Linked DNA regions of Canis lupus familiaris. The protein of the gene in region 2 interacts with the protein of the main gene of each other region in a pairwise test. Links are inferred from orthologs where the notes say so. Each region holds a gene or a part of one and is shown on either strand. Other genes may lie near its edges.

Region 1 (4,592 bases), on a different chromosome or scaffold from region 2:
CACGACCTGCCTACGCCAGGGACTAGACCCCCCATCCCTGAGATACGCAGGTGTCTAGCACGTCGTGTCTCAAAGTTGTTTTGACGTTGCTGCAAGGAAACTATTAATACATCCTCGAAATAGATGAGCAAGGCGGGGTCCTCAGAATTTCCCCAAGCCCCACATATACCCCCTCCTCTCAAGGGACAACAGCAGAAGAGCCGAGGCGGAGGGCTTTAAAGCCATTAACACCATAATCCCTCAAATCAGGTTAGATTACCTGGGTTGACTCTCCCATTTTCTTCTGAGTCCCTATAATGTGTGTCTGTTTTCATTGGCTTATTAGTACTGACCCATAAACCCTCTAAGACAGGACTCTACACATTACCAAAGGGCTCATTTCACACCTCTTTAAACCGGGGCTTCCTGAACTGGGTCTACATGGGTGGGAGTCCATGAAATGATGGTGTACGTGCGTTTTTCTGGAAGAATCTGCGGCTTTCATCACTCTCAAAGGGATTCATCACTTGAAAAGTAAGACTATCTTACACATGAAATTTTAAACGCTAATTTAAACTTCAACTGCCATACAATTTTTTCCAGAAACAAGGCGGAAACATTTTCTAAAACAAGGCACACCATTATTTAGCAGCACAGAGCCCGAAGCCAGGTAGGAGGTCCACCAGGACAGATACATTCTTGTCCCACAAAGTCCCACTGAGAAAGAAAGAAAAATAGTCCCAGGAGATGTTACCAAATGGCATCGAAGTGTTTTTCCAGGCCTAGGACTGGCTTGCACTCAAGAGAGACTACAAAATGGGAACAATGTGAGGTTTCTCTGATTAGAAGATAACAGAGTCCAAGTTCACATGGTTCCATTTGTCTTCCTCCTCCCAAATATCACAACTTTCTTCACTGGGGAGGGTAAGTGGGAAAGAGGACTGGTACCAGGGAAGAGAAGTACAGCTCAGAGGGGCACCAAGGTGGCTCAGTTGGTTAAGTGGCGGACCCTCAGTCTCTGCTCAGGTCATGATCTCAGGGTTCTCATGGGACTCTGAGCTCAGCCCTGAGTCTGCTTGTGGCTTCTCTCTTTCTCTCCCCGTCTGATCCTCCCCCTGCGCTTGCACGGACTCTCTCTAAAATAAATAAACCGGGGATCCCTGGGTGGCGCAGCGGTTTAGCGCCTGCCTTTGGCCCGGGGCGCGATCCTGGAGACCCGGGATCGAATCCCACGTCAGGCTCCCGGTGCATGGAGCCTGCTTCTCCCTCTGCCTGTGTCTCTGCCTCTCTCTCTCTCACTGTGTGCCTATCATAAATAAATAAAAATTAAAAAATAAAAATAAAAAAAATAAATAAACCTTGACAGAGAGAGCGCCCATAAATAGGTGGAGCAGCAGGCAGAGGGAGAGGGAGAAGGAGAAGCAGGCTCCCTGCTGAACAGGGAACCTGATCCGGCCTTGATCCCAGGACCCTGGATCATGACCTGAGCCCAATGCAGATGCTTAACTGACTGAGCCACCCAGGTGTCCCTAAAACAAATAAATCTTAAAAACAAATATAGTTAAGAGGTACAGCTCAGAGAAAAACAGCTCATTACCAGGAACAGGCTGGGCTGGCAGACCCTGAGCAGGGACGATGGAGGGAACGTCAGCACTCTGAAGCCCGGGGCACCCCTGGCTTTCTCCTGACTCATCAAGCATTCCTGGGTGCTGGCCCTGGCAGCCTACAAGGCTCTGATCCCACTGAAGTCTCTTCCAGGGACTCAGACTCCTCGTAAGCACCTCCCGCCTTAAAGAGAATTTCAGCGTCAGCCTAGCTGAACCGAGGCTGGATGGTCTAATTCCCGGTGCCCAAGGAGCAAGAGAGAAGCCACAGAGAAGTTCAGAGACCAGAGCAAAGAGGACAGAACTGACGGGCGGGGGGCGGGGGAAGGTGAGGGAGGGGGTGAGGGGTATGGAGAGAGGCGGGGAGACCTCTGCTCAGGGAAGTGATCCAAGTCAACAGGCACTGGAGAGAAAGACGCAAGGACAGACATTGTGCCAGGAAATGTGTTCGCCATTTGACAAACATTATCTATCTAACTGCACCTCTGGGCCTCAGTCTCTCATCTGGAAACTCGGCAGTTCTGGAATATACCAGAAGGCTATGTACTGGTAGTCAAGCCTTTTGACTTTATTTAAACAGAATTAAGATTTTTCATGAGAGACACAAAGAGAGAGAGAGGCAGAGACACAGGCAGAGGGAGAAGCAGGCTGGATGGGAGACTCGATCCCCGGACCCCAGGATCACGCCCCGGGCTGAAGGTGGCGCTAAACCGCTGAGCCAGCGGGGCTGCCGGCCTTTTGACTTTAAAGACGCCTTTCCTGGAATCCCGTCTGTGTCATATACAGCCCTGTGATCTCTGGCAAGTCACCTAACCTCTCCGTGCCTCAGTTTCCCTGCATGTAAAACGTGCAGACCAGCATGATCTAAGCGCTGCGCCGCACTTACACGTTAAGGCAGAAGAGCACAGCCTGGCGCGTAGGAACGTAGTAAACACTCAGTAAGTAGCAATTATTTTTGTCTAAGGCTCTTCCCACCCCGTGAAGTCATCGACTCTGGGAAAGGGGCTCAAGAGCGACCCCGGGGCCCACCTGTCTGCCCAGCCGCCGCCCCCCCGCGCCAGCCCACAGCTAACCGCGACGTCCCAGCCGCTCCGCCGACCCACCCTCGGCCTCCGGCCCCGCCTCCAGCCGTTAACCCCCCCCCCGCACCCCGTCGGTTTACCTTCACCGGTTCATCCCCGGCCGCCCACCGCCCACGCCCCCCCCCCCATCGTTTTTCCAGGATCCTTCCGCCGTGTTTTCACCTCTCGGTGTTGTTGACGATCACTCCGCCGCCCTCCGAGTGGTTCTTGTTGAGCGCCATAGTCTCTCGGAAAAGGGTCCCGAGACTCTCAACGCAGTGCGCCTGCGCCCCTCCACGGCCCGCCCCTAGTGGCGTCGTTCGTATTAGAGCCAGCCAATCACAGCTCTTGTGCGGAGCCTGGTCCAACCACCTGATCTCGAGCGTCACGTGGTAATAGTTTACTCACTCCCCCTCCCGTTTCGCCTGCATCACAAACAAGCTGAAGACTACAATTCCCAGAAGGCCATGCTCCCTCAATCGGCTTTTCTCTACGTTAGCGGAAGGATGCACTCTGGAACTTGTAGTCTTCCAGGCCGGATTGACTGCCCCAGTTGCATAACTAATCGGCCTGCGCATTACGCACAGCCCTTCGTATCTTCCAAGGGACCGGAATAAACAGTTGGACACGTCACAGGGGTATTACTCGGAAAGGCCTTGAGCACAAAAGTGAATACTCACAGAATGAGGGGGCGGCGGTGGGAATCTAAACCGGGTGTGGGGAATGCTGAGCAGTCACTTGCTAGGGCATCTTTATTTGTGAAACACTGAGTCTACATGACTTTGCCCCTGATCCGGGTGGTCACTGTAGCCGTGTAGATGAGCGCAAGACCCGGGTCCAGGACGGGGCGGGCTGCCAGAGCATCCCTGTCGTGAAGTCAGACCCGGACCCTCGGAGGTTGGGGGTGAGACTGTCCGGTGGCCCGACCTGACCCCTGCACCAAATACCAGGGTCCGGTGGGGAGCGCCTCTACCTTCAGCCCCGCAGGCCTCGCGGTGGCCCTGCTCCCTCTAGAACGATCTGGCTTCGGTCAGGCCCGCCCGGGAGCTTTCCAGCTGTAAGATTTCAACAAGACTCACAGTCATTGAAAGGACCTAGGAGCCCGGACAAGGCAAGTCCGGCAGCCCCATTATGTGGTTTATGAAATACAGCTGAGTCATTTCAGCTTGGGCCCCAGCACTGGGCGGCGCCCTTGGGCAGCTGTAGTAATTATGTATCTCCACGTCCGAGGTAGTTCTTTTTTTATTATTTTTATTTTTTTATTTATTCATGAGAGACAGAGAGAGACAGGCAGGTTCCCTGCGGGGAGCCTGATACAGGACTCGATCCCAGGACCCCGGGATCAAGACCTGAGCCAAAGGCACATGCTCAGCCACTGAACCACCCAGGAGACCCTGAGGTGGATCTTCCAGGGGAGGAAAGAAGGGTGTCACTCCCCACGTGGTGGTGCTGGTGCATCATTAATCTTAAAGGATCGGAAGTTTGAGTTTAAGCAGTACAGCTGATTCCCTGACATGTGATGGCCAACCTGGGGACCCACCTGCCTGACTTATCTTTTAGAGTTTCCTAGGTGAGGGATCAACACCCAGAAAAGATGAAACATGTAACAGCCTTCTGGGAAGTCTTAAGCACAAGCAGGTGGGGCCTTGCAGGACGAGTGCAATAAATTACTGCACGATGGACGTGATCTGCTCCAGTAGTTAAATTAATTTTGGCTCGCGAAGTCTATGCAGCTTTTTTTAAAATTTTTTATTTATTTATTTTTTAAATTTGTATTTATTTATGATAGTCACAGAGAGAGAGAGAGAGGCAGAGGGAGAAGACACAGGCAGAGGGAGAAGCAGGCTCCATGCACCGGTAGCCGACGTGGGATTCGATCCCGGGTCCCCCCAGGATCGTGCCCTGGGCCAAAGGCAGGCGCCAAACCGCTGCGCCACCCAGGGATCCC
Region 2 (4,288 bases):
GGGTCACACTAAGCCACATCTCAAGCGCTCACATGTGGATGGCACAGCTAGAGAACACTTCCATCATTGGAAGTTATATTGGGCAGCATTGAATCTATGGGAAGCACTCCAGCCTGCACTGGGCACCCACAGCATGTTGGCATAATCCATCTAGAGTTACAAACTGAGGGCATGGGCCATGATTTCATGTAAAGCTCTGCTCTCCCAGAAAGCCCAGGAAGGCCCAGCAAAGATGAGTTTTCTTCATCCATTGGGCTTCTTCCTAGGGAGGAGAAATACAAAGCTCAGAGAAGTGCTGTGACTTGCCCAAGGTCTCTTATAAGTGAGGGCAGAATGGGACTCATGGACACAGCTTCCCTGAAACCAGAGCTAAGCATAATGCCCATGTCACCGGGGCTTCCTTGGATCCAGGCAACAGGGATGGTGCTGACTGCCAACCCAGCAAGCTGGGACCCATACTCCAGACTCTGCTGTGAGGGGTTTCTGCTGATCCCACCCTTTCTGGGGTAGGAACCTCTCCAAAGTCTGTCTCTTCAGCTTTGTCTTCTGTCTCCCTCTGAGCCTCACACAGAGCTTGGCACATTGCAGGAGCCTCATGGGCACCTGTTGAACCCAATGCAAGGGGTGGATCCTGTTGCTCTTGTGAGTGTCAGGCCCTGCGAAGGGGTGAGTCCATAAATTCCTCTTATGAGGATAACGGTGAGCCAAGGGCTTTACATTTTTCCTATATGGATCCCTTTGGCAGTCTAGCAAAGCTGATGCATCCCTTCTCAGAACCATTTTTGAGTTTTTTTGAAGTACGAACACATCTACACAAAAGTGCACACATCTATAGTGTACATCAGTGAATTTTCAACAAGTGAACACTACTCGTGACCCTGGCACTCAGCTCAAGACACCGAAAGTGACCAGCACCCCAGGAGCCCCTGGCCCCTGCCAGGCCCCAGCTCTGGAGGAGAGCCCCTATTGGAATAATGTTTCCAAGTGCATATTGCAAGGCGAGGGTAAGAACGGGGTTTCAGCGCTGATGGAGGGCTCTGCGTGCGCGCCTGAGGCTGGCGAGATGGAGTATGGGGTACGGGGGGGGGGGGATTTGTCGGGGAACGGGGTGTCTGAGTGAAAGTTGCCGAGTGCGTGGGTTCGGGTGTGTATTTGGTAGGGTTTGTGGGCGGTTGGAGGGTGGTCGTCAAGAGGCGTGTGCGGGGCTTGGGGGGACGCTCGAAGGACTCGGGCGCAGGTCGCGAGGCACCGCGGGGAAGCGGGGCGCTCTGAGTGGGGTCGTGGGTCTGTGGGGGGAGGTCGCGGGGGCGGGGCCTGGGGAGGGGCGGGGCCTCGGCGGGCTGGGGGCGGGGCCGGCGGGCGCGCGCACGCAGCCGGCGCGCCCCCTCCCGGCCGCCATGTTGGCTGGTGTGTGGGTGTCAAACGGAGCTAGACGCGGCGGCGGCGGCGGCGGCAGCGGCGGCTGCGGCGGCTCCGCGGGCTTCGGTCGCTCCCGCCTCCCCAGTGCCACCCGCGGCCGCAGCCGCGTACCCGGGCAGGCTCGGAGGAGCGGAGGTGAGCCGGGGCCCGCGAGCCTCGGGGGCGGGGGGGTGGGCGGGCGGGAGCGGGGCCCCCGGGCGCGGACCCTCCCCTCCCCGGGGCGCGGACGCCCTCCCTGCGCGGCTGCCCTCCGGCCAACCCCCCAGAGCCTGCCCGGGCTGGGTCCCCAGCTCAGGTGGGACCCTTTCCTTTCCAGCCAGGCTCCGCCCCACGGGTTGGAGCATGGCCCCCTCCCCATCTGGATCCCGCTTTCAGCCTCAAGGGAGCCCCCCCCCCCAATCTCCCTGTCGGGGAACTCTCCCTCTTACGTCCTCGGAGTCAGGGGCTCAGCTCCAGGAGCCTCTCCAGGCCCTCATCCTCCACCTTTCTGCGGGAACCACCCCGCCCCTCCTCCCCAGAGCACTTTCCTCCCCGGGTCGGGCCGGGCGCCCCCTTCCTCCCGAGCCGAGCCCGATCTCCCTCCCGGCCGCCCCCGTGCACAGCCCAGCCCCTGTTTCCTCCAGGAATCGGGGGAGGGGTCCTCGCTGTCCAGGATTGCGTCCGGTCGCCGCTCTCCTTCGGGCTGGAGCTGGGGGCCCCTTTCCCTCCCCGGGGACCAGGTTCTCCCTCCCCACCCCCGACCCCCACGGCACAGCGGGGACGGGGGCGGCAGAGCCTGGCTCCAGCTGCCTTTTGTTCCGCGTGGGATGCCAGAGACCCCGCCCGGCGGTCCCGTTCGGCTGATCCGGGTGGGTGAATGGGTGCGTGGGGGCCGGCCTCTTCAAGGAGACCCTTCCTCTCTCTGCCCGTGGGGCGGCTCCCCCAGAGCGGAGCGCGTTGGCAGAGGCTGGCCCTTCCTAGAGGAGTCCGTGCCAACAGGTTTTTGTTTGCGACCTGAAGTTGGCCCAGTGGCTTCGCGGGGAGGGGTTGGGGTGGGGAGTGGGGGCACCTTGCCCTCCCCAGAAACCCCTGCAGGGGCCTGTGAAAAGCCCATTCCTCCTCCCAGGGGCACGACAGCCTGGGGTCCCTTCACTGTTTTGTCCTGGGGACGCGTCTGAAATCTGTGCTTTACGAGAGGACCGGGCTTGACCATCATTGGGGTCCAGAGATGCAATGATTTGCCCAAGGTCATGCAGTGCTACTGTGTCACTGCCAGAACTAGAAGCTTGGTCTCCCGGGTGCTCTCTTCGCACATTTTAGAATTTTAAAAGCGATGTTCAGGATAACACCCCTTCCCCCCCTCTTATTTTTAACATTCACACAAGATAATGGGCAGGAAAAGATGTGAAGTATGAGTTCTTCTTTTCTGCCTCCTCCCAAAAAAGCCCTGTGAAAGGAGAGGTTGGAACAGGAGGTTAAAACGATTGAAAAAGGTGAATTTTAATTACCACTCTCCCAATTACGTAAGATAATGAAGATTTGGCAGAAAACATGTACATCTTGTAGCTCTAGATAGCAGATGATAGGTGCTGGCAAAATCATATACTGAATCCTGCACAACAGTGATTGAGTTTGCACTGATAATTAAGTTTTCATCTGTATTTAAATGAACATCAGAAGGGACTCTTTTTTTTTTCTGACTTGTTCTTGTTCCAGTTGATTGTATTTGGGATAAGTGATGGTGTTGGGGAAGCTACCAAGATCTGAACTTTTATCTGTCTGTATTTTTACTTTTGTATTTTTAAAGCTTAGTAGTTTCTTTAGTTTTAACATTGGGTTGGTCATGTTACCACTGGACTTTTCTTTTGTAAGCATTGAATGAAATACTGGCTAGTAAAGAGTTGGGTAAAGTGCAAATTATTGTCAGACGTGATTCAGAATTGTATCCCACAAGACCCTGGAGCAGGAGCAAGTTTGGATTGTCCTGTGGGATATATTGATCTCTCAAGGAGGCTTTTTGCCTCCTTGAACCTCCAGTTTGACAGATGAGGAGTTTGGTGGAGAACTGTCTCCCAGCAAGGTGCGTTTTGTCAAACACGGTGGCACATGTTTGGAAATGTAAAACTTTCAAGTGATGATACTTAGCATGGTATATGCAGCCTTGAAAATGACCCATCCCGGGGGTGCCTCAGTGGCCCGGTCAGGTTAAGCGTCTGCCTTTGGCTCAGGTCATGATCTCAGGGTCCTGGGCTCCCAGGGTCCTGTTTTTCGTTGCTCCTCAGGAAGCCTGCTTCTCCCTCTCCCTCTGCCTGCTTGTGCTGTCTCTGTCAAATAAATAAATAAAATCTTAAAAAGGAAAGAAAATAACCCAACCCATAAAAAAGCCCTTGGAAAAACACAGTTGATGCCTCTTAGGTAACTGGGCTTCCATGGTAAGGCGTGGCTTTCCTAAGTGTTGGGATTCTGATAAGAGTCCTGCAAAAAGTAGATGAAGAGTTTTTAGGACTTTGATTTGTTTCAGTGGCTTGCCTCTTCCTGAACTTAAAAGAGTGGGCTTTTTTTTTTTTAAATAAAGATTTCATTAGGTTGAGGGTAAACTTCAGTCTTTGGTGGGCTAAAGTGCCAAGAAATTTTCATGCATGGAGCTCTCTTTTCATACTCTTGGGAAGTGCAGTAAAGCTTTCGGGCATTTGTTCTTCCTATTCCCCAGAACCTTCCTGTTGGATTGATGGGCCATGGATGACTGTGGTGGTTGTCACTTGATGGCAGGAGTACCTGGTGACCCCGAGCCTTGCAGAAATAAAAGGGCTTGCATTGGGGGAACTTGAGGTTGGGGAGAGAAGGAATTTTGTAGATCTCCCCAGCCCCCCCATTTGTCTGCCAGACTTTC

What was found.
Region 1: the proteins of EPN2 (region 2) and WBP2 interact in binary tests that used the Homo sapiens proteins (3 or more experiments, as listed by UniProt). The link is inferred for Canis lupus familiaris from reciprocal best matches to the Homo sapiens genes EPN2 and WBP2.

Annotation. Positions count from the first base shown.
Region 1 is NC_049230.1:5,622,546-5,627,137, reverse strand, and holds the start of WBP2 (WW domain-binding protein 2), read right to left. Parts: upstream 2,894-4,592; 5' UTR 2,887-2,893; coding exon 2,828-2,886; intron 2,787-2,827; exon of another isoform or gene 2,746-2,786; intron 2,602-2,745; exon of another isoform or gene 2,470-2,601; intron 1-2,469. UniProt on the Homo sapiens protein: Acts as a transcriptional coactivator of estrogen and progesterone receptors (ESR1 and PGR) upon hormone activation. In presence of estrogen, binds to ESR1-responsive promoters. Synergizes with YAP1 to enhance PGR activity.
Region 2 is NC_049226.1:41,168,106-41,172,393, reverse strand, and holds the start of EPN2 (epsin-2), read left to right. Parts: upstream 1-1,419; 5' UTR 1,420-1,554; intron 1,555-4,288. UniProt on the Homo sapiens protein: Plays a role in the formation of clathrin-coated invaginations and endocytosis.